3 linked regions of the Macaca mulatta genome follow. The protein of the gene in region 2 interacts with the protein of the main gene of each other region in a pairwise test. Links are inferred from orthologs where the notes say so. Each region holds a gene or a part of one and is shown on either strand. Other genes may lie near its edges. The genes, in order: ATF3, ATF2 and KIFC3.

Region 1 (9,836 bases), on a different chromosome or scaffold from region 2:
GTTGGCAAAATCCTCAAACACCAGTGACCCAGGAGGGGACAGGCAGGGGACGATGGCAGAAGCACTCACTTCCGAGGCAGAGACCTGGCCTGGGTGTTGAAGCATCATTTTGCTGAAAGACACATTGAAACCCAAACTGTTTCAGGGGCTCTGGGGCATGGGATCAAGTCCCTTTCCTCCACCAGACCTCCAACACCAGAACTCCACCCTCAGAGAAAAGTCCCATAAGCCATTGGGTTTCTGTTTTGTTTTCGTTTCATGCCATCCTCATCTTAAGTAAAACAGGTTCTTAAAATACACACAGCTCAGTGACATGAACAAAATGCTTATTTGAAGTTTATTAGGGATGATGTTTCAGGCTACTCTGAATTCACAAGAGCTATGAGTTTTGGCTGGTGTGCCTATGTGCAAATGTGGCCTCAAACAGTCCTGAAAGAGGAAGAACATTTTTTAAAAATCAGTGAGGCCATTTAAAAAATCATGAGTAACCTCATTTTCAGCCTCTTTTGCAGAGAGGCTTGACATCAAGTTGAAACTATCAGTGAGTGGAAGTAAAAGCAAAAAGTGGGGAATCCTTGAATTTAGCAAATACATCTCTGAAGCTTCTCTCCCGGAAGTTGGGCCCAAGCAGTGGGAATGAGAAAGGTAACTGTAGCCAGGTGCGTTTCTTCACCCCAGACTTTGGCAGGGGATGGGGAGTTGGATTCTTAAGGTTAAGGTTGGCAAAGCAAAAGGCCTTAAAGAAAAGTGAGGTGCCGTATTGTGTGGGAGTTGTTCAGACCTGTGGTATAGGGAGAGACTTAGGCTGGGTGTGGGGACAGAGAACCCGGGGGCTGGCTCTGGCACTAAAGAGCAGTGACTTGAGCCAGTCACTTCAGCTCTCTAGGACCCAGTCTGTGTCTGGTAAATGACTGAGAGCTCCTCCAATGCCAGCACTGAGTCTACACCATTGCTTTACCCAGAGCCTGGCCCAGCACCTGACTCGCCATGCCTCACTGGCCAACTGAATAAATGAAGTGGGGATGGGGCCATCAAATCAAATGCCCCCCATAGTCCAAGATTACCTTTCTCATTCCCATTGCTTGGGCCCAACTTCCGGGGTAGAAGCTTCAGCGATGTAGTTGCTAAATTCATCTCTCTCTATTATTCTATAGCTCAGTGAACCCAAAAGGATGACAAAAGGAAAAAAAAGAGTAGAAATAGTGACAGTTACACGGACCCAATTTGGAAGAGTCCCCCATAAGTCTTGGGTACTCCCTCCAGCAGTGGCCATTCCCCCTCCTCCCTGCAGTTGGTTTCCAAGGGGCAATGAGTATAGGGATGAGTGTAGGATGAGTGTGGTCTGGGCATTCCTCTCACCAGGGATCTGTGGTCATTAGCACAGTCCAGACAGCGAAGAAGCCCTCTGGCAAGTCTCAAACATTTAAGGAGTGCCTCCTTCATACCAGAAACCTTAGGGGCACTATCTCGTTTAATCCTCATGAGAACCCAGTGAGTTAGGATTTAGCCCCCTTTTATAGATGAGATAACTGAGGTTTAGACAAACTAAGTCATTTGTCCAAAGTCACAGAATTAATATGGGGCAGCATCAGGATTTGGAATTAAGTTAGTTTGGCTCCAGGATTCATGCCCTTAATTTGTACATTGCAAAAAATGAACAAATATTATTACACATTACAAAAACAAACCAGTATTATGTTATATTGCACAAACAAAACAAAAAACCAGAGCAAATTTTTGGGGGACAGGCCTTAAGGTAGGTGGGAGGCCTGGAAATGAAGTGATGGAGGCGAGGCTAAGTAGAGATTCCTGGGGATAACTTGAACTCTGTTTAATGAACTGCTAATCTTTATGTCAGGGTGCACACCCAGGCTGCTTGCTACCTGCCCTCTGGGAGTGTGAGCAAGTAGGTCTCTTATCCACAAAATTCTCATACTGGGGTCAGAAGATGAAAATCTGAAGCCCACTTACTCCATCATGTGTTATCATTGTACCTCCCAGTGGCTTCTTCTCCTCTGTTAAAGAGGGCTTGTAACAATCACCCTATTTTCCCATAATATCCTATGAGGAATTGAGGAACTAATACATGAACATGCCCTGGAAAACATTCCTTTGGCCAGGAGCTCCATGATTACTAAGCCTCCCAGAGATCTCTCCAGCCCAGGGCTGGCTCTCTGACAGAGGCTCTGTGGGGTCCAGGAGGGAGGGCGGCTGGTCACCCTCTTTGATCTCAAAGGCTTCTGAATAGAATACCCTGGACTTCAACTCCCCCTAGAGATCTAACATACACCAATGGAGGCAAGACTTCCAGGCCAATGAAAGCTGCCCTTGACTAGTCAAAGAAACCCAGGCTATGTATGTAATTCTTTTCCCAAAGAATGAGTCAGAACTGAAGTTCTTCTCTCAGTTTAATCCTATAATCTTAGGATGCTGGGAGGATACTTGTCACTGTCAGGCAATAAACTCTGAGAAACTAGACTTCTAAAGCCAGAGGCTTAAGATTCTCCCATGCATTCATGTTTCCCTGCCCTTTCCAACTTTATTAAAAACCCAGTGATTCAGGGATGACATTCAGAGCTACCACTGGGCTAGTCTTTGTTCGGAGGCCTGGATGGCTCCCTTCTACATGGTACTTTGAATTTCACTGCAGTAGAGCGTAGTTCCATTTTGCCACCCAACTAGGTTTATTAATGAGATCTCAGGGCTTGGGGTCTGCTGTTTGTGACTCCCATCCCGACCCTTCTTCTTATGTAAAGTCAGCAGTCCCAATGAAAGAAGCTGAAGAACGTCAGTGGTATGGAATGCTTTTATGGAAAGCATTGGGTGGGCTTACTTGGGGACAGAAATGGTTGTAAAAATGTTAGAAGTCTTTCAGAAAGTAAAACAGATGTATCTGTAGATATCTGGGTTTTCTTGGCACTAGGCTAAAGCTTAACTTCTTGGGATACTTTCTAGTTATTCTTTTACTCAGTCTCTTGAGTTATGATTCAGCCTAGACTCAGGCTGTGTCCCCACAAGGAAATGAAGTTAAATCATCAGACAATTTTTCAGAAAGTTGAGATCCTCAAACATCCTGATCATTGAAAAAAATTGTTTGGGGACCTCAGATCAGAGTTTCTATGCTGATCATAAAATTGTTCAGACTTGCTACCAAGAACTTGCATTTTGTTTCTGCTTGATTATTTCCAATCAGAAATCATGTTGTATCATTGGTAGTTACATCATTTTCAAGAAAGTGAAACTACTCATGTATTCCTTTAACTGGAAATTCAGCTCCCAGATTTTTATTTCCTAGTAGCTACAGCTACATTGAATTTTCACTTTTAATTTTCATCCTCTTTCCACTAAGCATTGCTCGCTAACCATCTTATGTTACTAGGAAGCCAATACTGGCCTTTCACTAACTCTTCATATCTTGGTCTTCCTCCCAGACCTCTTGAAGATTGTAGGTGCAAAGCTGGGCATCAAGGGCCAGAGACAATGTTTCTGAACCTATCAGCGCCAATCACAAACTAAGCACTCACCAACAAATCACTTAGGCTTTCTGGGCCTCTCATTCTCTTCCTCTGTAATTTGAGATCAAAACTGCCTGCCCCAAAGGGCTGTTAAGAAGGATATATGAGATTTACATATACACTGGGTAGTCATTATTACTGTGACTCCATCTTCTCCATTTCAGGAAAAACTCATTCTGTTGTTATCAATTCAACAAAGCCCTGTTAGTGAGGAATTAACTAAAACCTTCAAGAAATTCAGGTCATTCAGAGCCTCTTTTGTACTCTGATTGACCCCAAGTTCTTCGCAGACCAGGTAGATGTCACCCCACTATTTGCTGACACCAGCATTTCTCCATTACATATTTGAAAGAAAACCAATTCTCACTTAAAAACCATTTCTCCCTTGGAAAGCTTCTGTGGCATCTTGACTATGTCCTTCCTCCTCCCCTGGCTGGGTAACACTTGAAGCCACTGGCCTTGTCCCATGCCCAGCCAATTTTAAAAAGAAAGGAATCATGGACTCTATCTAATGGAAATCACACCCTCTCAATATTAGAATCATCTAGGTCAGATTTTCATTTTGTAATGAGTACACTGGTCCAGGGAGGTAAAAATGACTTGCCTGAGGTCATAAAGCTGGTGAGTGGCCCATCCCATGCCAAGCTGCTGACCACCCACCAACTGCTCATTTTGCTCCATCACCAATAGGTATCACCACCTCAAGGGATCAACCAACAAGGCAACCAGAGAACAGAGCCATTAGCCAGGTAGATAAGGGGTCAAGAGTCCTGGCACTTGGTACCAACCACAGAGGAGACTTTGACAGGACTGAGATAGGGAGGGGCTATCGAAGAAAAGAGCCATGGAGAGAAAGGAATTCTATAATGGCTAAAGGGCAAGGAGGAAGAGAGAGAGAAAGAAGGCTCCCAGCACTGCCACAGATGCTGGGTGCTGTATCTTAGCCCCACTGCGGGCGTGGGGTGCTGCCTTCTTTGCTGTCTCTGAAACAATTCTGACAGTAACTGCAATCCTCACCACATCCCATCTTTGACCAGGATATCCTCAAAGCAGGAGCCTGTATGTTGTAGCATTATTCTACAACCAATGCTAACTGCAAAACAACGGGGACAGTAATACCAATTTTTTGCCTTCACTTTAAATTGTGGAGACAGAAACTTCGAACAGAAGATGTGACTGTCACCTACAACGAAAGGGGTACATTGAGAGAACATCCAGATTTTCTGGCTCTCCTTTTTTTTTTTTTTTTTTCTGGCTTCATCAAGGATTTAGTAACTATTTTATTTGTAAGAAAGCATATGTGACCTCTGCAATGAAATTAGGTAAAAGAAAATGTTTAGGAGGAAAGGAAGTAGATGAGAGACAAAAATGGGGATAGGAGGAGCACAGAAGGAGAAGGAATCCAGTGGAAAGAAAACTGGTGAGGGAAAAGATGCCCTGCAGAAAAGTCCCCTTTCCCCCACTGTCTGGACACCGGTCAATGACATTAGATAGAGACCCACAGCATTCAAGTCCCCTCACTGGCTCCTTTTCTTCCCACTACACCACCCTAGAATCTGAAAATCTCCAGACAGAAAGGACCTTAGCAGTTATCTGGTCCAACCACTGCATTGTGCCCTCCAACACGCAGAGGGGGCCGGTACTGCCCATGTGCCCCTATTTCCCGGCTCGGCATACTGAGGCTCAACGACATCGATTGCAGTGTAAGCGCTCAGAGTCCTGGCACTAGACCACAAAGCCATTCTCTCAAATATCTGCACAACTGGCTCCACACCCTCGCTTCCCCGCCACGGTGGGTCTCCCGCGGACCGGCCGAAGGAAAAGCCAGAGTGAGAGTCCCAGGTGTGTGGGAGTCCCGGGCTCGGGTTCCAGACACCAACCGGTGCCGGGAGCCCTTCCCGTCGTCCGCCCCGGGACAGCGCGACACCAGCGCTCTCCACTTCCAAACTTATCCCAGCTAACTTTTTCTCGGGGTTGCCTTCACGGTCCTGCCGCCAGCGCTCCGGGGTGCCCAGGGCGACCCCCAGCGGCCGCGCACGCGACGCCGCCCGCCCTCCTGCCCCTTCCCCATTCATTCCTCTCCGCGCGTGGGGCAGCCCTCCCGCAAGCCTCCCGCCTTCGTGCCTCTCTGCCAACCCCGGGAAGGATCGGCTCCCTCAGTGCCGTGTCTCGAAGCGAGGGATGCAGCGGGACGGCGAGCTGGGCAGCCTCGGACACCCCAGCGCACCCGCCCACCCACCTCACGCCCTCTCCCAGCCCCGCAAGCCAGCGCCGTCTGCGGAGAGAAGCGGCGCTCCAGGCTGGCGGCAGAGTGGACGCCAGACCTCCGTCACCAGGAACCTTTCGCGCCCCAAGTCAAAAGAGAAAGTTAGTTCTTTCGCTTTGCGGGAAACTTTTCAAAGCGCCGAGGAGCAGCGGTGGCTTAGAAGAAGTTAAAGCCAGAGTTATTTCCAAGCCGGAGACTGGGGGCGCGGATCTGGGGTGGGTCAGGGGTCGGCGGACTGGTTACTTAGAGGGGCGCGAAGGGAATGAAGGCAAGCCGCCCTCGTCGCGCTCACTCCCTTGGCTTCCAGCGCTCACCTCCAGGCTCCGCTCGGGGCGGCCAGGGTCCGGAGGACGGGCAGGGTCGGGACCGGGTCGGGCGGGCTGTTTGTCTGGCCGGCGGGCGAGCACCAAGGACTCACGGCCGGCGCGCGGGCTGAAGGGTGCGCTCGGGCGGCGGCGAGAGAAGAGAGCTGTGCAGTGCGCGCCTGGCTGCGTGCGACTGTGGCTTGGAGAGCGTTGCATCACCCCTTTTATAGCCCTCAGGCGGGCGGCGCGGTCGTTTACTCCGTGTTGCCAGTCCCGGGCTGACGTAATGCTATTAATAGCTTCCCGGGAGAACCGGCCGAACGGAGCGGAGGAAGGGGGTGGGGGAGGGGCCAAGGCGGGGCGGAAGGCGGGTGGAGATGGGGGGGCACTGGTGATGCAAGTTCGGGGAGGAGCCAGCCGAGGCGCGTTCCCCCAGCCTCGCTTACTGAGACACACACCAGCCCGCCCTCTCTCTCCATATCAGGACCGGAGTCGCCTGGGATAGCCGCCAGATGTGCGTACTCGCTGCTGCGTGTTCCAGGCATGACCAATGGTGCCCAAGCCAGCGGCATGACTCCACCGCGCTGGCATCTCTCCCTCCGCTAGGTTGAGGAGCGGGGGGGCGGGGAAGGTGGGGAGGCGGGTCCCGGCCCCAGCCCAGACTAGGTGAGGCTGGGAAGCGGGCACGACCTTTCTCTAAAATGCGTGGTCATTTTCTGGAGCTTCAGGAAAATACCCCCTCCCCCACTGGCCTCCTACTTCTCTAGCAGGGACAGAATAGGGGCAGAAGCGTTAGTCTGTGATGTGGGGAAGGTGTCCAAAGTCACTCTTCGGTGTATCCACGCCATTACCCGCCGGGTGTGACCTCCGCGGCGGGGACCGCGAGAAGCCCGCCCGTTAACACAAAAGCGGAGGGCAGCCCTCTGCTGGCACCGTGCGCCGGAGCCCACGGCCCCGGACCCTCCACATAGACGCACACGCAGGACAGCTCCGGGCTCCGAGACTAGGGCGAGTGGTAGGACCGTATCGGTTCGATTTTTCTTCTTTTTTTTCAATCACAAAGCGTTTGAAATTGACAAGAACGTCTCAGTGAAACCAACAAGAGCGTGAAAAGATCGGAGTCCCGGAGGAATCAGAGGCAGCCCGGTGGGAGCGTAGGAGGGGGCGGAAGCCAGTGGCCAGGACTAGGGGGAAAGAGAAGGTGCTTTGGGGTCCGCGAACCTGCCCAGGCCTGGGGGTCGCCCCGCTCTCAGGCGATATTTAGGGAAAACCCATCTTCAGCTTTCACGGGTTCTTCTGCTCCCAGAGCCTACTGGACTGGGACCAGACGGCCCGGAATGGGGACGCACTGACCACAGGCGGAACCCGCAGCAGAAATCCCCTCTGCCCTCAAGCCAGGGTGGCGGGAAAGGCGGGGCCCCGTAGCCGAGATTCGAGCTGAGACCTCAGCAGAACTGGGTTTAAACCTTAAAAACGATTTCCTGATTCTTATTCCCCGACCACAACAGTTTCTCCTCAGAGAGTGGCAGAACCAGTAACCTTCTTGACTGCCTGTGGATGACTATTTGTGGACATAAGTGTGGCCCGGGACTTTCGCACCTGCCTGGGAGGGAGACTTGCGCGGCCGCAGGCTGTGGGAGCACGGCAAAGGGCAGAAACACCTCCTTTCTACCTGCCTCTGGGAGAGAGGCGGCCGAAGGTCATAGTTTGGTAATTTGGGGTAGAAATTAGAGGTGTCTGGAGCCCGGGTCTCACTTGAAGTCCCCAGTTCCCCCCACCGGGGTTCCTCGCCGCCTAGCCCGACCTCACTCAGAGCACCCCTCTCCCCATGGACCTGGGAACACGCGGAGGGCGGCCTCGGAAGTCTTTGCGCCCGGGCGGGCCCCGAAGCCCTGGGGTTCCACGCGGGATCCTCAGAGATCTGGCTCTGCACCTGACCCGATTTCCAGCGGCGTCGCGCGGGAAGTGCAGGGCGGGTGTTTTCGCTTTACTTTTCGCCCTGGTAACGGCTCTCCCGGCCCCACCCTCCGCTCCCACGCCCTCACCCCCGCGCGCCGCGCAGCACACCTCCACAACCCGCCCTCCCGCTGGAGTGCGCGCAGGTAAACCCCGGGCGTGTCGGAGCAACCCCGAGAACACCGGGCGGGATTAGATGGAGAAGCGTTTGTGCATTTGAATGAAGTTATTTGGTATCTCTACTTCGCTATTTTATCTACTTATAGATTGTCCTGGAATAAATAGCACCATTATAAAATGAAGCAAGGAGAGGAGGGAGAACACGTGAAGCTTTTTACTCTTTTTCTGCTGTGAAACAGAAATCTTTCACCAGTTTACAGCTTGAACTATGATTCCATTAATACACGCAAGCCAAATCTGTGGAGATCTGGTCCCGTCCTTAAGGGGAAATTCCAGTTAGGTCGTCAAGTAAATAAACAGCCAGACCGGCCTCCACAAAACGTCAGGGGCTCTGCCTTGGGAAGGAAAGGGTAACTGGGGTGGGGGGAGAAGCCCCTAACACCCTGGTCGGGTTATTTTTATTACCATTGTGCCTCCAGTTCCTTTTATTAATCATGCTTCATTCTAATTACTCTTAGTTTGGAATCTCCAAGTTACACCTGGATAGAAATGCTGTCCGCTGTTCACAGAAGTCTGATCCTGACATTCTCAACCCTGAAAGTGATAAGAATCTTGACAGAGAACTAAGTCCACTCCCACTTGAATGAAACTCTTATCCAAGGAAAACAAAAGCTACTCCTGCCTGCCTCCCTCCCCTCAGCCCCCAGGAGAACCGTGAAATGCCTGCTGAATTGAGAGACTGGAAAAGAACAGAGCAAGGCGGAGCCCCTGAGGTCTTTGCCACAGGAGAGTGATCAACATCTGAGTCCTTTGCATCCTCATTTTACCCTGACTTAAGTTAATGCCACCAATGTCCAGTGTGCACACTCTCAGCACACACACAGCCAGTGCCATGCAGAGGAGCGCACAGAAAAACTTTCCACACCAAAACTCCTCTCGACGCAAACCAAAGAATGGCTGTCTTGCCTTAGAAGGAAGCCCTGGCTAGGGTGATTTCAGGGGTTAATCCTCAATGAAAGACGGTTAAGCAGAGACTTGAAGATTGCTGAGGTTTTATGCTGGTGAACGGCCTGGGGAATCCACATTCGGATCAGCCTTGGTATGTTTTGCTGAGTGAGATAAGAGTTGGAGACTTCATGCTGGGACATGTGCAAAAGGAAGGGAAAAAATAAAAAAGGGGAGGGGAAGGAACTAGGTAATTGAAAACAGCCCACTCGTGGCAACCAAATCTAAACAGAAAAACATTGCAGGGAGCCAACGCGAAAAAAAAAAAAAAAAAAAAAAAGTTCGAGATATTTAATGGTTCTAGCAGTTTCTTAGTTCAGTGCACAATCCCTTCCCACATTCCTCTGCCCCATTACTCTGTTCTGTAAACCCTAAGACTGTATTTGCACCCAGAATGCTAGAAACACAAGGTAAGATCCACCAGAGGAGCGGCAGAGTACTACCAGCCCTGTCTGCCTAGCTCAACCTACTTCTTCGCTTTGAAACGGGAGTGGAGTCGATTTTCTTATACTTTATTCTGTTTCTGAAGCCCACTCTTTCTACAAAGTCAGTTTGAATGTGGTGACTGCTAGTTTAATAGCGTCCAAAATGGGCATTGTCAGGAAACAGGTGCAGCATCACACAGTAGGCACCAAAGTGTGGAAGGCACTTGGATTCTGGATTCAGCAC
Region 2 (9,725 bases):
CAACTATCAAGTAACAAATATCATAAAGGTTATACAACATGGAAAAATATAATGCTATAAAAGTAAAATAAAAATAAAAGTAAAATAAAAACTTATTTGATATAATTCTGTAAAAACTGTAATATATATGCACAAACTAGAAGAAAACAAAAATAATGAACACAATTATGTTAGTATCGCAAAACAAGTTGATACATAAAAAAAATTGTTCCGACACACGTTTAATAAATAAAAGCAAACATACTAGTCCAAACAGTAAAATTAGAAAAACCAAAGCTATAAAATTGGAACAAAGCTAAAAAATTGGAATGACAAAGGTTTCAGTTCTGCTAGCAAACTAAAGAATATTTAGGGAATATATTTATAAATTTGTGGTCAATATTATAGATAAAAATACTATATATTACAAAAGTAACCAAAGTCCATATGGTTATTTTGCCAATTACAATTCTTTCTCCCTGTCTTTCCCTACCAATCTTGTTGAGAATCTCTACGGTAATAAGCCACTACTACTGTTGGAAGTATTTTCTATTCCTTGGGTAGAAAGGCAAAAAAGTGGCTGAGAACCACTATCTTTGTTAAGATACAGAATGCAAATATGGGTGAACAGGCAAAGCCCCCAAAACATTTTATTTACATCTCTTCTTTACTGTCAATGTCAAAATGCCAAGGAAAAAAACCATCAATAAACATACTTCAAAGTGAAAATGAAGATGGGTGTGGTGGCTCATGCCTGTAGTAATTCCAATACTTTGGGAGGCCGAGGCGGGTTCGAGACCAACCTCGCCAACATGGTGAAACCCCATTTCTACTAAAAATACAAAATTAGCCAGGCGTGGTGGCGGGCACCTGTAATCCCAGCTACTCAGGAGGCAGAGGCAGGAGAATCACTTGAACCCAGGAGGCGGAGGTTACAATGAGCTGAGAGCAGCACTGCACTCCAGCCTAGGTGACATAGCGACTCCATCTCAAAAAAAAAAAAAAAAAGTGAAAATGAATACACTAGTTTCAAGGTTGCCAACAATAATTGAAAACATATATATAATGAATACATATTTATAATCATATAATATGTAACATTAAATACACCTGTAGCATAAAATAATGTATAAAAATAGGCCAGATGCAGTGGCTCATGCCTGTAATCCCTCAAAAGTGAAAATGAATACACCAGTTTCAAGGTTGTCAGCAAGGTTGTCAAAAAGTCTCAACAAATTGAAAAGACATATATAAGGAATACATATTTATTTATAATTTTATAATATGTAACATTAAATATATTTATAAGATAAAAATAGTGTGTAAAAACAGGCCTGGTGTGGTGGCTCACGCCTGTAATCCCAACACTTTGAGAGGCCAAGGTGGGTGGATCACCAGAGGCCAGGAATTCAAGATCAGCCTGGCCAACATGGTGAAACCCCATCTCTACTAAAAATACAAAAATTAGCAGGGCATGGTGGTGTACCCCTAGGAATAGCACCCCTAGCTATTCTGGAGGCTCAGACAGGAGAACTTCTTGAATCTGGGAGGTGGAGATTGCAGTGAGCCAAGATTGCACCACTGCACTCCAGTGTGGGAGACAGAGGGGAGACTCTGTCTCAAAAATAAAATAAAATAAAATACACTTACTGATGGCCTTAAAGATCCACAAATTTCCTTGATTTTTTATGAAACGATCTTACACCTTACTATATAACCTTTTAACCTTGAGAAACATAACAAAGGAAATAAAATGTTCCGTGGGGTTTTCCTTCAAACATAAACAGGTGATTACTATCCTACTACTTCAACATTAAAACTTACATAAAGAGAACATGCAGCATTTTAGACAAGTTCTTAGCCTTGAGGAATTGGTGTGAGTATAAGATAAACACAAATACTAAAGTCCAGATTACAACAATACCAAGTGAGTTTTTTGTTTTTGTTTTGTTTTGAGATGCAGTTGCACTCTGTTGCCCAGGCTAGAATGCAGTGGCACGATCTCGGCTCACTGCAACCTCCTGCTCCTGGGTTCAAGAGATTCTCGTGCCTCAGCCTCCCCAGTAGCTGGGATTGGAGGCACCCACCAACGTGGTTTCACCGTGTTGGCTAGGCTGGTCTTGAACTCCTGACCTCAGTTGATCTGCCTACCTCAGCTTCCCAAAGTGCTGGGATTACAGGCATAAGCCACCACATACTGCCTAAGGTGGGATTTTTTTAGGGTACATTTTAATTATACAAAATAACCCAACAAGTGCTATAGGCATTGACTTTTATAAAAATCAGTTGAATATTAATTATTGTTATTCACTGAATTTTAAACAAGAGGTTCTGGTGAAAATCTGGTTTTAATAAGGGAGACTTCAACTACTTTATCTTCTCCAACGACATTTTAGTAAGAATAAAAACGATAAAGAAATGCCTACCTATAGACATATTTCATATTGGAAGGAAGAGCTTGAAGACAAAATAAGTAGAAACAGCACACATTGGTGAGACTGTTTACCTGATCTAACATGATCTAACAATTTACCAGACAAGAATGTATGTATCATTAAAACCCAAGTTTTCCAAAATACAAAAAGTTGGGTAGAAAAAATGTACATTATTCTTTGAAGAGTTAACGCTACCTATAGATAGATGTTTGATGTATGGAATATTTTTCAACCATACTCACAGAGCTTTCAGATCCTGAATACCAATAAAGAGTACCTCCACCCCCATTATTTGTTAAAATGCTGACAACCATTTCTACTATTTATTTATTTGAGACGGAATCTCGCTGTCACCCAGGCTGGAGTGCAGTGGAGTGATCTCGGCTCACTGCAACCTCCGCCTCCCGGGTTCAAGGGATTCTCCCGCCTCAGCCTCCTGAGTAGCTGGGACTACAGGCGCCACCACGCCCGGCTAGTTTTATGCACTTTTAGTAGAGACGGGGTTTCACAGTGTTAGCTAGGAAGGTCTCCTCACCTCGTGATCCCCCCGCCTCGGCCTCCCAAAGTGCTGGGATTACAGGAATGAGCCACCGCGCGCGCCCAGCCTCTATTATCTAAGCTTAAAAATAAAAAACAACGCCAAAGAAAAAAGTGCAGGAATTCCTGGGTTACATATTTAACTAATAATAATATAGTGCCCCAAATACGAAATAAACATTCGGATAAGGTATTTTAAAAAGGATTTTCAGGAAATGCACCCGGAGCTACAGAAGGTATTATATACCCTACACACACACACAAAAGGTCCCTGAAAGCTCCTTCCTTACTGACAATTAAAATACATAACATCTAAGTTCTAAATTTCCACGATATTACATTTTAAATCATTTCTTAAAACTTAATGGCAGTAGCATTCTCTCAAAGCAAGATTAAACGTCTTGGAAAGGCAACATACACATCACGGCAAATTTGGAAGATTCTCAGAAATTCTTTTACACATCACGGTAAATCTGGAAGATTCCTAGAAATTATTTTACAAAGACGAGGATTCTTAACTATTACGCAACTACTGACGGCCTTAAAGATCCATGAACTTTCTTAATCTTCAGAGGATATCTATTTTTAAAACGTATTTTACAAGGATGTTCCTATCATTTTGAAACAAAGTTTTTACGGTGGATTCCTCGAGTAAGAAAAAAAATGAATACATGATAAAACTGTTTCTGTGTTTGCACTTCAGGGCACTTAAACCTGTAGGTGTTACTTTTTAAAAAGCTTTTATAAAGCTTTACCTTCATAATTTTGATTCATGAGACCAAAGCTATATGGCTATATAAAGATTAGAACGGCTGTTACTGACAATGATAACGCCAGTGGTCATGTTTCTTCAAATAGGACAAAAAGTGTGCTCAAAGGAAGTCAGTTTTTGTTCTGATTTTAAATGTATATCGTAAATGCATGCATTGTGACGTCTCCATAATTTAAAACCTCTAAGAAATTTAAACTTTCACATTATAATTCAGGGATTAGTCAATCCCTTAGTACCAGTTAAATAATAGCCAGGAAAGCATTAGAAAACCTGAAGGTACATGTAAAGAAATGCTTTACATCACTACTTAAAATAGGTGTTGAATTTTAAGAGAAACATTTCTTTCAGTAAAATTTCTGATGCCTGAGGTCCATCAGGAATAATCTCTTTTACTACATGATATTCACAGTAGTTTTGCTCTTGGCCTCACCAGTTTTAAGACTCTCCATTAAGGAAAGCCAATTTTATACTACCTAGGGGCACAAAAATAGTCCCCAGCTCCTCCTCTCTTTTTCCTCCTAGGTTCGGTTAAACGAGCGAACATGGAAAACACGTACACACACTCCCTTTCGGCCCTGGTTCCTAGGGCATGATGAAAAGCAAATTATTTCTTTACATAAGGTCTGCTGTCCACCCAAAGAGATTAAAAAAAAATAGGGGAAAATACCAGAATCACTCTGCACCCACACCTAAGCCCCGCCCCACCGGGAAAAAGTGGGGGGTAGCGGGACTGTGAGGGTGGCGGAAAGGACGGAAAAGGCCGAGACTTGCAGCTCCCAGGTTCTCCACACCATTCTTTCCTTCAGGCTGCACCGCAGCCAGGGACCCTGATTCTATTTTCAGCCGCGCCTCCCGATCCTCCTCCCCGCCACCATCACAAATACACGGTCCTCAATCGCTTGAACACTGGGTGGGGAGACTAGAGTGGGCCCTCTCCCCGCCCAACCCAAGGACTGTGGGTGGGAGAGGTCTCCCTGCGCACACGGCTGACTCGACGCGCGCCCCGAGGACCTCTGAACTGACCCAAGCAGGGGGAAGATAAATCGGAGGGAGGGGTCTAAGAGGAGCCGTTATTCCTTTTTCCTCTGCCTTAGGAAAGCGCGCGAGAGGGAGGGGCCGGAACAACGAACGCTGGTTACCTAACGGTCCGGCCCAGCCAGTCAGTCTCCCAAAGCCCACACCGCGCGGGCCGCTAAGGTGGCATCACAGCCACAATCGCCCCAAGGGCTAAGAAGCACGTCAGGAGCACCCGAGGTGATGGGAAACGGGGGGTGGGGACTGTGCTGAGCGACGTCGCCATGTTAGCACCTTCTTTCTCCGTATCCCTACAGTCTCCAGCCCTGCTGACCTCTGCCCATCATTACTCACCTTTCCAGGTCACTAGTTCATGATCCTTTCGGTCACTCGTGAGCCCCGAGCACAGCCGTGTTTACAAACCACCCCTGGACGAAAAGGCTGAACGGCACTTTAAAGGCCACGGGCTCCCACAGGCTTCCGTCCTCTCTCGCGAGATCGGACTGACAACCCTCCTCCCCCCCCCCGACCCGCCCCGCTCCCGGCATCCCCCCCTTCCTTCTCGCGCCCCTCCCCTCCATGCTCACGCCCCGTCTTGCCTTCCTTCTGAGGGAGAGCCTCCGAGTCAGGTGATTCCGTCAGGCTTAAGGAGAAGAAGGCGGGTCTTCGGCAGGGCGGGTAGAGGGGACGGGCACCAAAGAGCACTCGGGCGCTCGTGATTGGGCAAGGAGCCCGAAGGGCGGGAAGCAGTTCTGGAGGGGGCGGGACCAGAGGGCCCAAGGAGCGTTACCTCTGTAAACCCAAGGCTGTGGAAGGCTGTGATTGGCTGTCGGCTGGAGGAGGGGGCGGGTGCAGGCGGCGGAGGAGGGGTAGGCAGGGTGTTGGCGGTGTGAAGCGAGGATGGTGAGCTCCAGAAAGGCTGGTAGGGGGAAGCAGGATGGGTCCTCCGAGCCCAGCCCCAGGAGCCGGGTGTCTCCGTTGCCGTCGCTTCCCAGCACTAGGTAGGGAGGTGGGTAAAGGTAGGCTGCGTTCCTCAGCCTACCCCTGGCTCCCCGGGAGTCTGAGACGGGGAGCTTCGGGTTAGGTGAGGTTTGCGGGAGGCAGAGTTTGCTGGTAATTCCCCATCCCTACCCTCCAATAAACCTCACACAACTTAAAGATTTTAATATTAACTGTAGGGATGTTGGTTATTCAATAAATAGGCACAAGTTGAAAAGTATGATCAGAGGCCTCTGAAAATTTACTCAATAAAAGATTTTCAGTCTTTTATTTTTCCATTTATTAAATACTGATTTCTAGTCTGTAACAAAATTATGAACTAGTTTATATATTAACATAAAATACACTCTCAAAGTTGTTGAAAGGTTTTAGGGGATATTATAAGAGATAATGAGCCTGAAGTTCAAGAATGATATCTGGCATAAAGTGAAATTGTAATGGCATTGACATTTTCACAGGTAGGTCTCTGGACTGCATACATGTATATAAGCCAACTCAGTCCTCTTTTAAAACTAATTTTAGTTAAAAAACATTAAGCCAAATTATTAACACTTTCCTACTTAAAATGAAAGTGTTGTCCCCATATAGTAACAGTAATGTTGTAGTAGTGTCATTGTAGTGTAACACTAACTATGTCAGCAAAACCTCACAGTTCAGATTACTCATGATGGAAATGGTGGACAAAATGTTTGATTGACATCACAGTTGTTAGGTCTAGAAAACATTGATTAAAATGATGCTTCTCTCTCCATCTCCCAAAACAACTAATGTGAGAAAAAGAATTAGAAATGTTACGACATTTCAAAAGAAGTTTGGGTCAATTAGAATAGATTTTTTAAAAAATTATTTTTCCATTCATGTGTATTAAAATTTGAAATTATTTTTTTCAGTATTCAATTGGGCAGTAGCTTTGGTTTTAAATTTCTCATTTCTACTTCTCTGGTCTGTTGTCAAGCAGTTAAATTATCTACATGATGCATTCGAGGAACACATTTTGAAGAAAGTCTTTCAGTTCTTTTTAGACAAGAGAAGAACTAGTGATATGAACAGTACTCTGATCTGTTTTGATAATTCAGTTTCAGCTAATTTTCTAAAGAGAAGGTATACCTAAAGTGAAAAAAAAAAAATAAACAAGATAGGGGGCGGGAAACAGGTGGAAACTATGCCAGTCTATTATATATGCATTTTGGCAGCCTGGCGTTTAACAAGGGTCTCACTTTATCCACATATTTCTAGTTCCACAGCAGTTTGTTTACTATAGTTTTTCTACAAGTGGGGAAGACATTCAGCATTGTCAAAATGAATGTAGTTACCATATTCAGGTCTGATTCTGTGAACTTGTCTCACTACTTATTCATATCCTCATAAAATGCCATCATTTTCCATTTTTGTTCTCACTTCTGCATTCCTCAGTATCCCCAAGGGTCCTAAAATTCTTTAGTCTTCTCTTTACAAATGCAGGAAACTTACTGTAGACCTCTTCTTTACCTGTCTTGTTCCATAATGCACCTACCCAAAACTTAGTTCTAAGAGAATTAGTGAGAGTCTAGTGAATCCCCTTTAAGAACCCAGCATGACTGCTAAATAAAACTAATATTCCTTAGATACAAAATGAGGCTATTTGAAGAAAATGCATTTCTGTTATGGAAGTGTTAATAACTAAATATCATAAGAATCAATGATGGTCTCTAAACACCCTCAAAATCTTCCAAATGCCACATAAATGTGGTATTTCCACCTTAGTATGATAGGGCTGTTGATCCATAATCTGTTAAAACTGCTCACGAAAATTCTAAAACGTGTGTGTGTGTGTGTATATATATATATATGTTCTCATGCTGCAAATAAAGATATACCCGAAACTGGGTAATTTATAAAGGAAGGAGGTTTAATTGATTCACAGTTCAGCATGGCTGGGGAGGCTTCAGGAAACTCACAATCATGGCGGAAGGGGAAGCAAACATATCCTTCACATGGCGGCAGCAAAAAGAATGAGTACCCAGCAAACGGAGAAGTACCTTATAAAACCATCAGATCTCTGAGAACTAACTCACTATCATGAGAATAGGATGGGGAAACCACCCCCATGATTCAATTGTCTCCACCTGGTCCCTCCCATGACGTGGGGATTATGGGAACTACAATTCAAGATGAGATTTGGGGTGGGGACCCAGCCAAACCATCTCTCTCTCCATCTTCCCTTTCAGCTTCCCCTCCTTCTCTCTCTCGCTAATAATTTACAGAACACAGTTTCTGTTTGTCTGCAGCTAACCAAAACATAGAAGACTACAGGGCACCCCTTATGTCTGCTTGGTACAACTAATCCTAGGCTTAGGGAAAGAGCCTGTACATTTTCATGATATTCTCAGGATACAGCCTAGTACAGTGGATTAGCTGGGATTTTATCAGTGGAATCAAGGTGGGGGGGTGTGTGTGTGTGATGTGAAAGGGGTGGGGGACACAGGACATGATTACCCCACTGATACCTGAGATGAAATAGGATAATGTGGGCCCAGACATTGTACAGACATTTTGGTAGCTTCTATCTCATGGCAGATCTTTTCCTCTGCCAGTTCAGGGTCTTCCTGCACATTGCTGAAACGGCCTATATTAAAGTTACCTCTCAGCACTTGTCCTCATCATGGAAATTCTAAGTGCAGGGATGTCTACCCTCCAACCCAAATCTTGGGTTTCCCAAAATAATTTATAATTATTGGGGTGTGGAATTATGGGGAAAAAAGTCGTTTATCTTCACATCATACCAGTTGGTTTATACTAGCTTCAACAAAACCAGTCCAGAGAGAGGGAGAATGGAATTTAAGGGCCTTGTTTTTTTTCTTGATGCTAATGCCACCTCTCTCATCTGACTCACCAGAAAGAGGGATTGCCATCATTATATTCTGCTCTTTTTTTTTTTTTTTTTGAGACGGAGTCTCGCTCTGTCGCCCAGGCTGGAGTGCAGTGGCGCGATCTCAGCTCACTGCAAGCTCCGCCTCCCGGGTTCACGCCATTCTCCTGCCTCAGCCTCCCGAGTAGCTGGGACTACAGGCGCTGCCACCACGCCCGGCTAGTTTTTTGTATTTTTAGTAGAGACGGGGTTTCACCGTGTTAGCCAGAATGGTCTCGATCTCCTGACCTTGTGATCCGCCAGCCTCGGCCTCCCAAAGTGCTGGGATTACAGGCCACCGCGCCCGGCTATTCTGCTCTTTATACAATATTGTTGTTAATAAAAACAGTACCACTCCTACCTTTCATGGCTTCCCATAAATGACCCCTCTGTGTTATTTCAATTTATCACCTTTATTGTGTTTTCCCTTGTTCCTTACTCGGTCTGAAATGCATAGGTCATCTTGTTGAACAGTGTGCTTGTTTGCTGTCTGCCTAGAGCCACTTTGACCTTCCATCATCTCTTCCCAGTGCACAACCCTGATAACCCTCACTGCTCTTTACATCAGTTTGTATTAACAAGCTTCCCAAAATTGCTGGAGAGTCACAAAACTAGGTGAATGATGTTCACTACCAATTTGTTACCTGTCTGGAGCTGGGTCCCTACTGCTGCTCTGCATTTCTTTTATGCACATCTAGTCTGTGCTGTATATACCTTTCTTTTCTTTTCAAGCCCAGATCTGTAAAATTATACCTCTTGTATTTAAAAGTATATAAAAAACAAAGTTCATCATTTCCCCAAATCAGCTTTTTCCTTGTCGTCACTAACAGTCACATAAAAAAACAAAAACAAAAACAAAAAAAACAAAAACAAAAAACAGAACATGGGCTTTAAGGAAGATCTGAATTTGGATCCTGACTTTGCCACTTAATGGCTGTGTGATTTTGGGAACTGTTTAACCTCTGAGCCTATTTTCCTTTGCATCTTGGAAATTATTCCCAAGTTTACAGGTGGTTATAAGGGTTAAATAACAGTATAGCTAGCACTTACTAGATGCACACACCCTCTCATCTCCTAACTGGTTCCTGAGATCTAGGCATTA
Region 3 (9,467 bases), on a different chromosome or scaffold from region 2:
TGGTCTGGGGCCATGGCTCAGGGCGTGGGTGGGCTTAGCCAGAGCTGGGTTCCTCCATGGCCTGGCTGTGCCCACAATCCCTGGCAGGGCCTGGGTAGTTCCCCTCTGGGCCTCCACCTTCCCTTGGGAGGAGGGGCTGGAGCAGTTAGGACAGCAAAGGCCCTGGGGTTGGGGTGGTGGTGGTGCCAGCTGGCCCCTCAGGCACTGCCCTCTCTACAGGCTGCACAAGTGCCGGCTCTGCTACAAGCAGCTCAAGAGCATCAGCGGCCTGGTCAAGAGCAAGTCGGGCCTGAGCGGCCGCCACGGCAGTACCTTCCGCGAGCTGCACCTGCTCATGGCCAGTCTGGACTGAGGAACGCAGTGGGCAGGGGCGCTTGGCTGCCCTCAGGGCCTGGCCTCAGCCCCCACTCCTGTTCCTTTTGTGCCTAGTGGCCCATGAGCCTCTGCCTGGCCCCTGCCGCTGTCCTGTGGCCGTCCTGGAGGAGGTAACGCTGGTCCCTGGCCACCTCTACAGCCCTGAACTCTCAGACAACTCTCTCCAGCAATAGCTGCCCAGCTTTGCCCAACTGTTGCTTCTTGGGGCAGCGAACTGAGCCCTGGGGCTGCTGCTGTAATTTATAAGGCAAATTTTATTAAATTTGTAACTATTCCCAGGTTTCCTTGCGGGGAATGTTTTCTGCTGGTCACAGGGCTCCCCACGTCCCAGGAGTGCCTGCCCCGTCGTTTCTGAGATGAGGCCACACCCCCTCCAAGCCCTGGGGTGGGGCTCTGGGCCGTGTGGCCAGCAGGGGGCAGCAGAGAGTCAGGCCTGTGGGACATCAGTTCAGACTGGGAAGGAAAGGGAGGCGGCAACCACCCTTCCACCACTGGGTGTTGAGGTTAGGTAGGGGTGGGCCCCACCAGCCGGTCCTCCCCACCTCAGCCACACACAAGTTGTCTTATGGACACCCCCAGGATGCCTCCAGGGGCAGGACTGGAAGGCACCTGCCCCTTCTTCTGAGCAGGGCTCTGATCAGCTGTCATTCCCTGCTGGAGCCCCCAGCACTGGCTGGCGGGAAAGGGCCCACTGCTCTGTGGTCACTGCGACAGGTGGGCCCCCTCCTGCTCCCAAGGCAGGGACCAGGTACAGCCCTGTCCCGGGGTGGTCAGGGTCCTCGGCACTGGAGGAAGGTGGCGCGGACCTCTGGCCAGTTCACTGAAGAGGGAAAAGGCCAGGGCAAAGGGTGGGCAGTGGGTGGTGCCCAGCAGTAACCCGGAAGGCCAGCATGGTTTGGGCAAGGCTTTAATGAGCTTTCGAAGCTCTCTCCAGCCTTAGTTTCCTTCCCATCAGTAACATGGAGGGAGGTCGGTCAGTTATTGTGGGCACACGGTAGGCACTGCATGAGGTGACTGTGACCACAAACAACAGAGAAAGTGACCCAGGGTGGGACAGCGCGGGCTCCCCCCAGTTGTTAAGGATGCATGTCCCTAACTGACCTAGAGGACAGCTCCTGGAGGGCTGTCACCCCGGGAGTCCACAGGACCTGCCAGTGCCCCATCCCCCTTAGCAGACCAAGAGGGGCTCACAGGCCAAAGTTTTCAGACCATACTTGTGTAAAAAGGCTTTTATTTTAATAAGTAAAAATGGCTAAGCTTCCAAAAGTTCTTAAATAGATTTCAGAGGGAAGAAAATTCAAGAGACCAGTGAGCCAGGCAGGTGAGGGAGCAGCAGAATCCCCCACCCACTGGCTGCCTCTGTCAGCCATAAATATGGCGCGGCCCCGTGGCAGGAGGCCGTGCGCCTCTGTACACACCCCAGCTGCGGGACCCCTCCTTGAAGGAGAGGGGCGGGGAGGGCTGCCCTTGGTGCCACCAACCCACCCCAGTCCGAATGGTTCTTGAGCCTGCCAGGAGGCTCCTTGCCCACCCACGAAGGAGGGGGCTGGCCAGTCCTGCAAGCTGAGGAGAGGAGCTGGGGCAGCCTGGGTGAGAGGCCCGCCCTCCTCCACTCTCCTGCCCTCCTCACGGGGCCCAGCTCACTGACAGCCCAGGCCCGCCAGGAAGAGCAGCCACCCCCGCTTTTCCGCCCATGCAATTTGCACCCAGAGCCACAGCCGAGAGACACCGTTTCCTTCTGAACATGTTTCTCATCTCTGAGGGGAGACGGGGCAGAAGAGGAGCCTTCACTCTTGCCTCCACCTCCGGGGGTCCTGGCGCTGCAGCAGGAACAGGCCGGTGAGGCCTCGGGGCCCAGCTCCAGGCCCAGCGGGGTCACATCCGTCACACAGGCAGTGGCCGCGACTTCCCTGCAGGGGCACCGGGATCATCAGCCTCTTGTCCACTCGCCCACCGGCAGCCCACAACAGGTGCCACCAAGAGCAGGAGGGAACCCAGCAGAAGCAGACAGACAACACCAGCGGAGGCCAGACCCAGCCCTGAGCAGCAGAACGTCCCAGCGCAGCCCTGCAACCCATGGCGGCGGGCAGGCGGGTAGCCCTGGGCCACTGGCCCCACACTCACCTAGAGGCTGCAGCCCCAGCCGTCAGGCTGAAATCAAAGTGACAGGCGTCTCACTGGTGGGCCTGCCTCAGGCCAGTACCCCACAGGACCCTGCTGCTGCTACCCCTTTGGACTCAAGGACAGGCCAGGCCTTCCCATGATCTGGGCTAAACAGGGGCTGGAGTCCTGGATCCCAGTCCTGTGGTGGGGCTCACTCCTCACCTAGGACGTAGGCAAGCCCTGCCCTTTCTATCCCCAGGGCAGCTGAGGTGCAGGGAGGGGGATGCAGGGACTGCTCTGGAGGGGGCTTACTGCACAGGCCCAGCCAGCCCACCCTCAGAGAGCAGGGTCCCAGGGTAAAGTCAGCACCCCAAGCTGGGAGGCTGGGGTCTCCTTACACTACCCCTCCCCACGGACCTTTCATTTCCCACCTGCAGACTGAACACAGCACTGTCTGCCCTGACGACTGCCTGGGGGCAGGGGAGGTTGTAAAACAGGTTCTGAAGAAGTTGTAAGAACTTTTTAAAAAGGAAAGAAAATAGAAAGCCAATCCAGGTAAGGGCAGCCTGGTGACTATTATCCTGGGGAGACTCCCCCACCCACACTTCCACCCCAGGCTCACCCGAGGGCTGCAGCTTCCTCCGGATGGATCCAGGGCGGCTACTGGTCCCAGAGCTGGGGGCTGAGTGGGCCCGTGCTGAGGGCTGTGGCGTCTGACAAGCCGGCTCCCACTGTCAGCAGGGAAGGGCGGGTGGGCGTGGGCCACGGCTGCCCTGGCTCCCCACCCTGCTGTGCTGCTCTCTACTCCCCTGCCCTGCCTCCTAACCTCCTAACACCCAGTTTCCTCATCTGCAAAATGGGCATGATGCTCGTGCCCCAGCCTCAGTTATGGTAAGAATTAAACGAGATAATACATATAAAGAAGTCAACTAGTTACCACTGTGTGCTAGGTACAACTAGTACCTACTGTGTGCCACCCCCACGGCCAGCTGGTCACCCCACAGGAACCTCTGAGGCCAAGAAGAATTACCTGTACTGAAGAGGCTCCTGGCTGTGGGTTCCAGCTGTAGCTCCACCCACCTCCGGCAGCTTCCCCGCCCCCACTGCTTCAGGACGTCCCCGCCCAGTTCCCCACTCCTGCCATGACCCAAAGTCTCTGACCCAGGGCCACCTGAGCCAGGCCTGTGACAGTCCCCGTACCTCTAGATGTTCCTGGCTCGACCAGGACCCAAGCTCTGCCCTGCGTAGCCCAGGCCCCAGCTCCACAGAGCGCACCCGCTCAGCAAACTTGAGAGAATAGAGCGTCTCGCTAGTGTTCTTCTCCACGGGGGACACCTACGGGACACAAGAGCTCACTGCCCAACCAGGCCAGCTGGAGGGACAGCAGGGCCAACAGAGGGAGCTCACAGCTGGGGATGTCAGAAGGCTTCCTGGAGAGGACTGAAAGATGGGGTGAGAGGGCAGGCAAGGTGGCAGAGGTAGCGTGGTCAAAGGTGGAGAGGAGGGACTGGGAGTCACACAGGGTGTGTGTGGCCAGGTCTGGGGCTGGGGGCTGTTGCTGACTATGGAGCTGCTGAGACAAGGGTTCCTTTGCACAGCCTGGGGTGACCGGGTCTCGCTGCTAGCGCAGCCCCTCCACTCTAGGGACTGGCCCGCCCTAACCCAAGGCACTCACCTGTACCACCATGAGGGTCTTGCTGTCACCACTAAGTGAATCCTGCAGCAGGTAGGTGAGCTTGGAGTTGCGGAAGGGCACGTGGCCCTGGCGGGAGCGCAGGGCAGCAATGACGTCCCCCAGAGCTGACAGCGACTTGTTGATGTGCTGTGCCTCCCGCAGGCGGCTGCCCTCAGCCCCCGACTTGCCCACGCGCTCGGAGCCAGCCAAGTCCACCAGGTTCAGCTTCCCTGCAGGGAGGGCACCCAGCAGATCAGGCCTGCCATGCCCCTTGTGGTTGTGGGGATCCTCAGGCCAGGCTGCCCGCCACTCTCACCCGTGGTGCGGAGGCCCGTGCTGCAGTCCATGCCTCGCACCGTCACGATGAGCAGCGCATGCGAGCGGGAGCTGTGCTCGTTGAGGTTGGTGAACTCCGTCGTGCGATTGGTGTGGCCGAACTCAAACACCTGGGGGATTGGGAGCGGGAGGGCAGAGGCACAGCGTTGAGAATGGGGTCCTCAGAGTCACCTGGCCCCAAGCACCCGTGAGGAGTTGGCACCACCCTCTGCAGTTTAGATGAGGGAACTGAGGCTCAGAGAGGCGTGGGGACTTGCCCAAGGGTGCGTGCTTAGGACACAGCAGAGCCTACATTCAAACCCAGTTCTGTCCTCTAGAGCAGCGTGGCTGTGGTCAGGGGCTCCCTCCTCCACACCTTGTTGATGTCGTCCACGCTCTGCACCTGGAACTCAGTCAGCCCTGGTACATACAGCTGCCCACTGCCATCTGGGCATAGCCGGATCTCCAGTTTTTCCTGAGGCTCTTTCCCTAGCAGGTCCCTGGAGGGGTAGGTGAGACAGTCACGCCCTCCTCCCATTTCTGGCTGCTGTTTGCACTGCACCCAGCCCCCCAGCCAGGAATGTTCCCCCAACCCAGGAAGCCTTCTTCAGCCATCAGCTGAGCGCATCTCTCCTCCTCCAGCTCCTCCACCGCATTCAGCTGACGCAGAGATCTCACTCCACAATGCAATGAGCCCTGTGGGCAGGGCCCCCAGCTGCCCACTCTCACCCACAGCCACCTGGTGCAGCCCACAGGTAGGGGCAAGGATTGCCTGGGTCTGGGCTAGGGCAGGCTGAGAGAGAGCCCCTCCTCCCCACAGGACCACCCAAACCGATGGGCTGAGTCAGGACTTGCAGCCAGGTCCCTTGATGGCCTCATCTGTTCCCTGTACTCCCTTCAGGAAGACCCCACTTCCTATCCCCCATTGCTCCAGCACCACTCCAGAGGACCCCAAAACTGCCCCTGAGGCCTGCTCCCCACATGCTGGGGCTCCCACCTGAGGACCTCATTCCAGCACCACCCCGGAGGACCCCAAAGCTGCCCCTGAGGCCTGCTCTGCATACCCTGGGGCTCCCACCTGAGGACCTCGTTGTAGATCTCCGCGGCGCTGACGGTGATGGTATACTCCCAGTCAGACGCCTTCTCCTGCACCTCGGAGAAGAGCAGCTGCAGGGCCCGCTGGTTGATACCTGGGTTCTCAGGGGTCCCCTGGGGGCAGAAGGAAAGGCCCCAGTGAGCCAGGCCTGTCCCCAAAGATGCTCGTGTGGCGTCTGTCCCCCAAGCCCCTTGGTTACTCCTCACAGGCAAGCCTCCTTGCCCAAACCTACCTACCTGCCACTGTCCCCCAAAATGCCCTCCACCAGCTGCAGGCAACTGCACCTCTATTTCCCCACCATTAAAATGGTATCGCCCTGCCAGGACTACCCTGAGACTCATTGTCCGGCACTGGGGTGAGGGGCCTGGCCCAGACCCCACATAGGCCAGCTGACGGCCAGATGCATGCCTGGCCCTGCGGGGCCACCTGGGAGGGGTGCTGGAAATGAATGACCCCACCACTGCCCAGAAAGGGGCTCAATCTCAGGGAGGCTGAGGCCTGGGCTCTGTGGGTGGTGGAGAGGAGGCACAGGGAGGAGTGGACCAGTGTCCTGGGGCAGGAGGGGTGGGCCGGCCTTTCTAGAAGGAAACCTGGAGTCCCTACCTGGGCCCTCGAGGCCCTGGGAGCCTGGCCCTCGCCCTTCTTCTGACAGTATCTCTCACCCTCTCTCTATTCCTGCCGCAGGGGCCTCCTGGTCGGGCCTCAGGTGCCCCTGGCATGCTCTGGCCTCTTGGCCTTGGCCCTGCAGCTCCCTCTGCCCTGGGTGCTCCTCTGACCTCCCCGTGGTCGGCTCTGTCATCTCCCTCAGGGAGGCTGCTCCTTCGCCCAGCACCCCCAAACGCCCTGTCCCTCCCCCTAGTCAGTTCCACATCCCTGGCTTTATTTTTCTCCCTGGCCTGACAGGACACTTGCTGATTTATGTGGACTGTGTTGCCTCCCCACAGCCAGGTTGGCACTGTGGGGAGGGCCCCCTGTGGAGGCAGGGACTGTTTGGGTCAAAGCTGTACCTGGCACAATGCCCGATATGCCTCAGGCATCAGCAGATACGCTTGAGGACGAACGCTGATGTTTCTGGTGGTCAACTCAACTCTAAGCAATCCCAAAGCAGAACAGGGAGCCCAGGGGATGCTGCACACACCCCCTTCCTCCTCCCACCTGGCCTGGCCTGCCCCCACTAACTAGTCTCACTAGTTCCAGAATTGAGGGAACAGCAGAGTCCAGATGGGAAATAGAGGGCCGCCATGACAGGCTCCCTGCCCAGCAGGCCGGGCCAGCCCTTTCCCCTGCCCAGATGCCGTACCACCTGGCCTCCTTCTGACCTAGGGAATCCCACAGCACCCCTCAAGAGTCAGGGCTAGCTTTCCACTGCCCTCTGCCCACAGTCAAGATCCTTCCTCATCTCAACGCCCCCCTCCCTGGCCAGCCACCTGCTCCACCACACCTGGGAGGGCGCCGGTGACGGGCAGGGAGAGGAAGCCTTGGCCTGGCCCCAGGGGCCACCAGCAAGAGCTGGGCTCCCCACCACAGCCTTCGCATGCCAGTCTTGCCCTGGGATCTCCTTGAGGACTGAGACCAACCACTCATCCCAGATCCCCCAGGCCCGGCCAAGGCAGCCATAAAGCAGGGGCGTGCAGTGCACAGTCAAGGTGAAACGCAGCCCCGGTCCTGAGAGAGGTGGGTGGCCTGCCCTGGACTCTGTCCCCAGGCCAAGATCCCTGTGATGACAGACCCCCCTTGCCTCTTCCCCAGTCCTGCTGGGCCCATTGTGGGTACCGTTGGGCAAGGGGGCCCCCTCTTAAGGCCTGGTGCCTTGGGGCTAACACAGATAACTACAGCCTCTGCTCCTGGGTTGTGAGGACCAAATGAGGCAAAACACACACTGCACAAAACTCCAAGACCAATGAAGGAGCCCGCATTCCCTTCATACCTCACTGTGAACCCCCACCCCGTGGGGCAGCACCCACCTCCATCGTGTATGTCTTGCCGGCACCCGTCTGGCCGTACGCAAAGATGCAGACATTGAAGCCATCGATGCAAGAGGTGATCAGGGCCTGCACCTCCTGGAACACCTGGGAAGATGGTGGCAGGGAGGCTGGTGGGGGGCTTCCAGGGCCACTGGGACCACCAGCTACAAGTCCAGCCACCTCCCCAACCATGCTGTCCTTTAGCAACACCACAGCACGTGTTACTGCAGTCACTCAGCTCACAATGATTCGTGATTCGTGAGTCATATGTTAGACATCAGTGGGCAACTGGGCCGCCCAAAGACTGCAGGGAAGACAGGCCGGTGCCTGCTGCCCTTCCCCCAGCTCCTCCTGCTCTCTCTCAAAGAGCGCTCAGCACAAGGAAGGCAGAGGCCAGCACATGCCTGGGGACTCTCTGGCCTGGGCCTGCCTGCCAGCCATCAGCGGATGGGGGCAAAGACAGAACCAGACATGAGAACAAGAGGGCACAGGCCTTGGTCCGGCTAGCAGGTTGGTCTGGGCAGAGACAAGGGAAGAGTGGACACTGAGAACACATGGTTCTCATACAGCCTCAGGGGGTCGGGGGATTCCTAGGAAGGCCCAGGGGACTGATACAGGAGGGTACTCCCAGATGGAGAAGATGGGCAGGGTCATGAAGACAGATGGGGCCATGTGGGTGGGCAGTCACAGCCATGAGGGTGGGAGGGGCTGTGATAGTGGGAGGGGCCTGAAGGTGGGTGAGGCCACATGGTGGGAGGGTGGGAGGGGCCTGAGTGTGGGTGGGGCCATGCAGATGGAGGGGCCACAGCATGAGGGTGGGATGGGCTGTGATGGAAGGAGGGGCCTTGAGAGTGGGCAGGGCCATGCAGTAGAAGGAGCCACGTGGATGGGAGGACCCAAAGCCATGGTGGTGGGAGAGGCTGTGGGTGGGGCCATGTGGTGGAAGGGACTGGATATAGGAGGGGCCACATGGTGGGAGGAGCCATAGCTGAGAGAATGGAATGGGTTATGATAGTGGGATGGGCCTTAAGGGTGGGCGGGGCCACATGGTAGAAGGGGCCTTGGGGATGGAAGGAACCACAGCCATGGGAGGGGATGGGCTGTTTCTGGATCTCTCCTTCCAAAGGAGGCTTCTAAGGCCTTCAGTCTTAACTTCCCACCCTCTTCTGTCCTCCAGAGGAAGGTGCGGGACCCTGGCTTCCCACTTCTGATTCCTGTACCCCCCACTCTTAGGCTTCTTCCTGCCCAGCCCCTCTCCCTCCCTGTGAGTCCGTCTTTCCCTCTCTCCATTGCTTTCCCTTTCCCGCATGGGGCCACACTCACGTCCTGCTGCGAGGCCTGTGGGGAGAACACCTTGTCCAGCTCGAAGGACACAGGCTTTCCCTTGTGCAGCAGGTGGATGATGGAGTCGTCGTCGGCATCGAAAGTCACAGCATTGGTGGCCTCAGGTCCTTCCCCATCCTCTTTGGTGACTGGCCGGACACGAGCAATCACTCGGATGTTCCCTGGGTTGGTTGGGGATGGGGAAATGGGCCCAGGCCATGTCAAGACCAGTCTCCACTCTGGTCCACTGGTGTCCCAGGCAGACCAGTTGGCCTAGGAGTCCCCTGACTTTTAAGCACAGCCCCCTAGGGGAAGGGGGCCCACAAAGCTGTTATCCATCATTCACACTATAGTATGCATTCACTTAGTACATTTCTTCTTGAACAGACCAGCTGACTGGGGTGGAGCTCTGCCTTGGGGATGGGGAGGAAAGGTCAGTTGTGGGGCTCAGGCACTGCACCCAGTCAGGATGAGACGCCAGAACGGATACTCTCTTTTCCTCCCTGGACTTCAGTTTCTTCATCTAGACAATGAGGGGCTTGGGCCCCAGTGAGCAAAGAGCCTTCTGAATGGCAGGACAGGGCTTAGGAATCAGATGGGCATATAGGCCTGGCAG

The links.
Region 1: the proteins of ATF2 (region 2) and ATF3 interact in binary tests that used the Homo sapiens proteins (3 or more experiments, as listed by UniProt). The link is inferred for Macaca mulatta from reciprocal best matches to the Homo sapiens genes ATF2 and ATF3.
Region 3: the proteins of ATF2 (region 2) and KIFC3 interact in binary tests that used the Homo sapiens proteins (3 or more experiments, as listed by UniProt). The two-hybrid records come from large-scale screens. The link is inferred for Macaca mulatta from reciprocal best matches to the Homo sapiens genes ATF2 and KIFC3.

Annotation. Positions count from the first base shown.
Region 1 is NC_133406.1:70,337,607-70,347,442, reverse strand, and holds the start of ATF3 (cyclic AMP-dependent transcription factor ATF-3), read right to left. Parts: upstream 6,169-9,836; 5' UTR 6,096-6,168; intron 1,190-6,095; exon of another isoform or gene 1,065-1,189; intron 113-1,064; 5' UTR 109-112; coding exon 1-108.
Region 2 is NC_133417.1:80,092,798-80,102,522, forward strand, and holds the start of ATF2 (cyclic AMP-dependent transcription factor ATF-2), read right to left. Parts: upstream 5,246-9,725; 5' UTR 5,092-5,245; intron 4,752-5,091; exon of another isoform or gene 4,676-4,751; intron 1-4,675. UniProt on the Homo sapiens protein: Transcriptional activator which regulates the transcription of various genes, including those involved in anti-apoptosis, cell growth, and DNA damage response.
Region 3 is NC_133425.1:53,367,516-53,376,982, forward strand, and holds the end of KIFC3 (kinesin-like protein KIFC3), read right to left. Parts: intron 9,034-9,467; coding exon 8,852-9,033; intron 7,634-8,851; coding exon 7,529-7,633; intron 5,890-7,528; exon of another isoform or gene 5,678-5,889; coding exon 5,547-5,677; exon of another isoform or gene 5,370-5,546; intron 5,224-5,369; exon of another isoform or gene 5,111-5,223; intron 4,977-5,110; exon of another isoform or gene 4,969-4,976; coding exon 4,845-4,968; exon of another isoform or gene 4,807-4,844; intron 4,600-4,806; coding exon 4,470-4,599; exon of another isoform or gene 4,384-4,469; coding exon 4,154-4,383; intron 3,814-4,153; coding exon 3,679-3,813; intron 3,403-3,678; exon of another isoform or gene 3,210-3,402; coding exon 2,841-3,209; 3' UTR 2,754-2,840; downstream 1-2,753. Other genes in the region: KATNB1 (katanin p80 WD40 repeat-containing subunit B1), read left to right, coding at 220-352. UniProt on the Homo sapiens protein: Minus-end microtubule-dependent motor protein. Involved in apically targeted transport. Required for zonula adherens maintenance.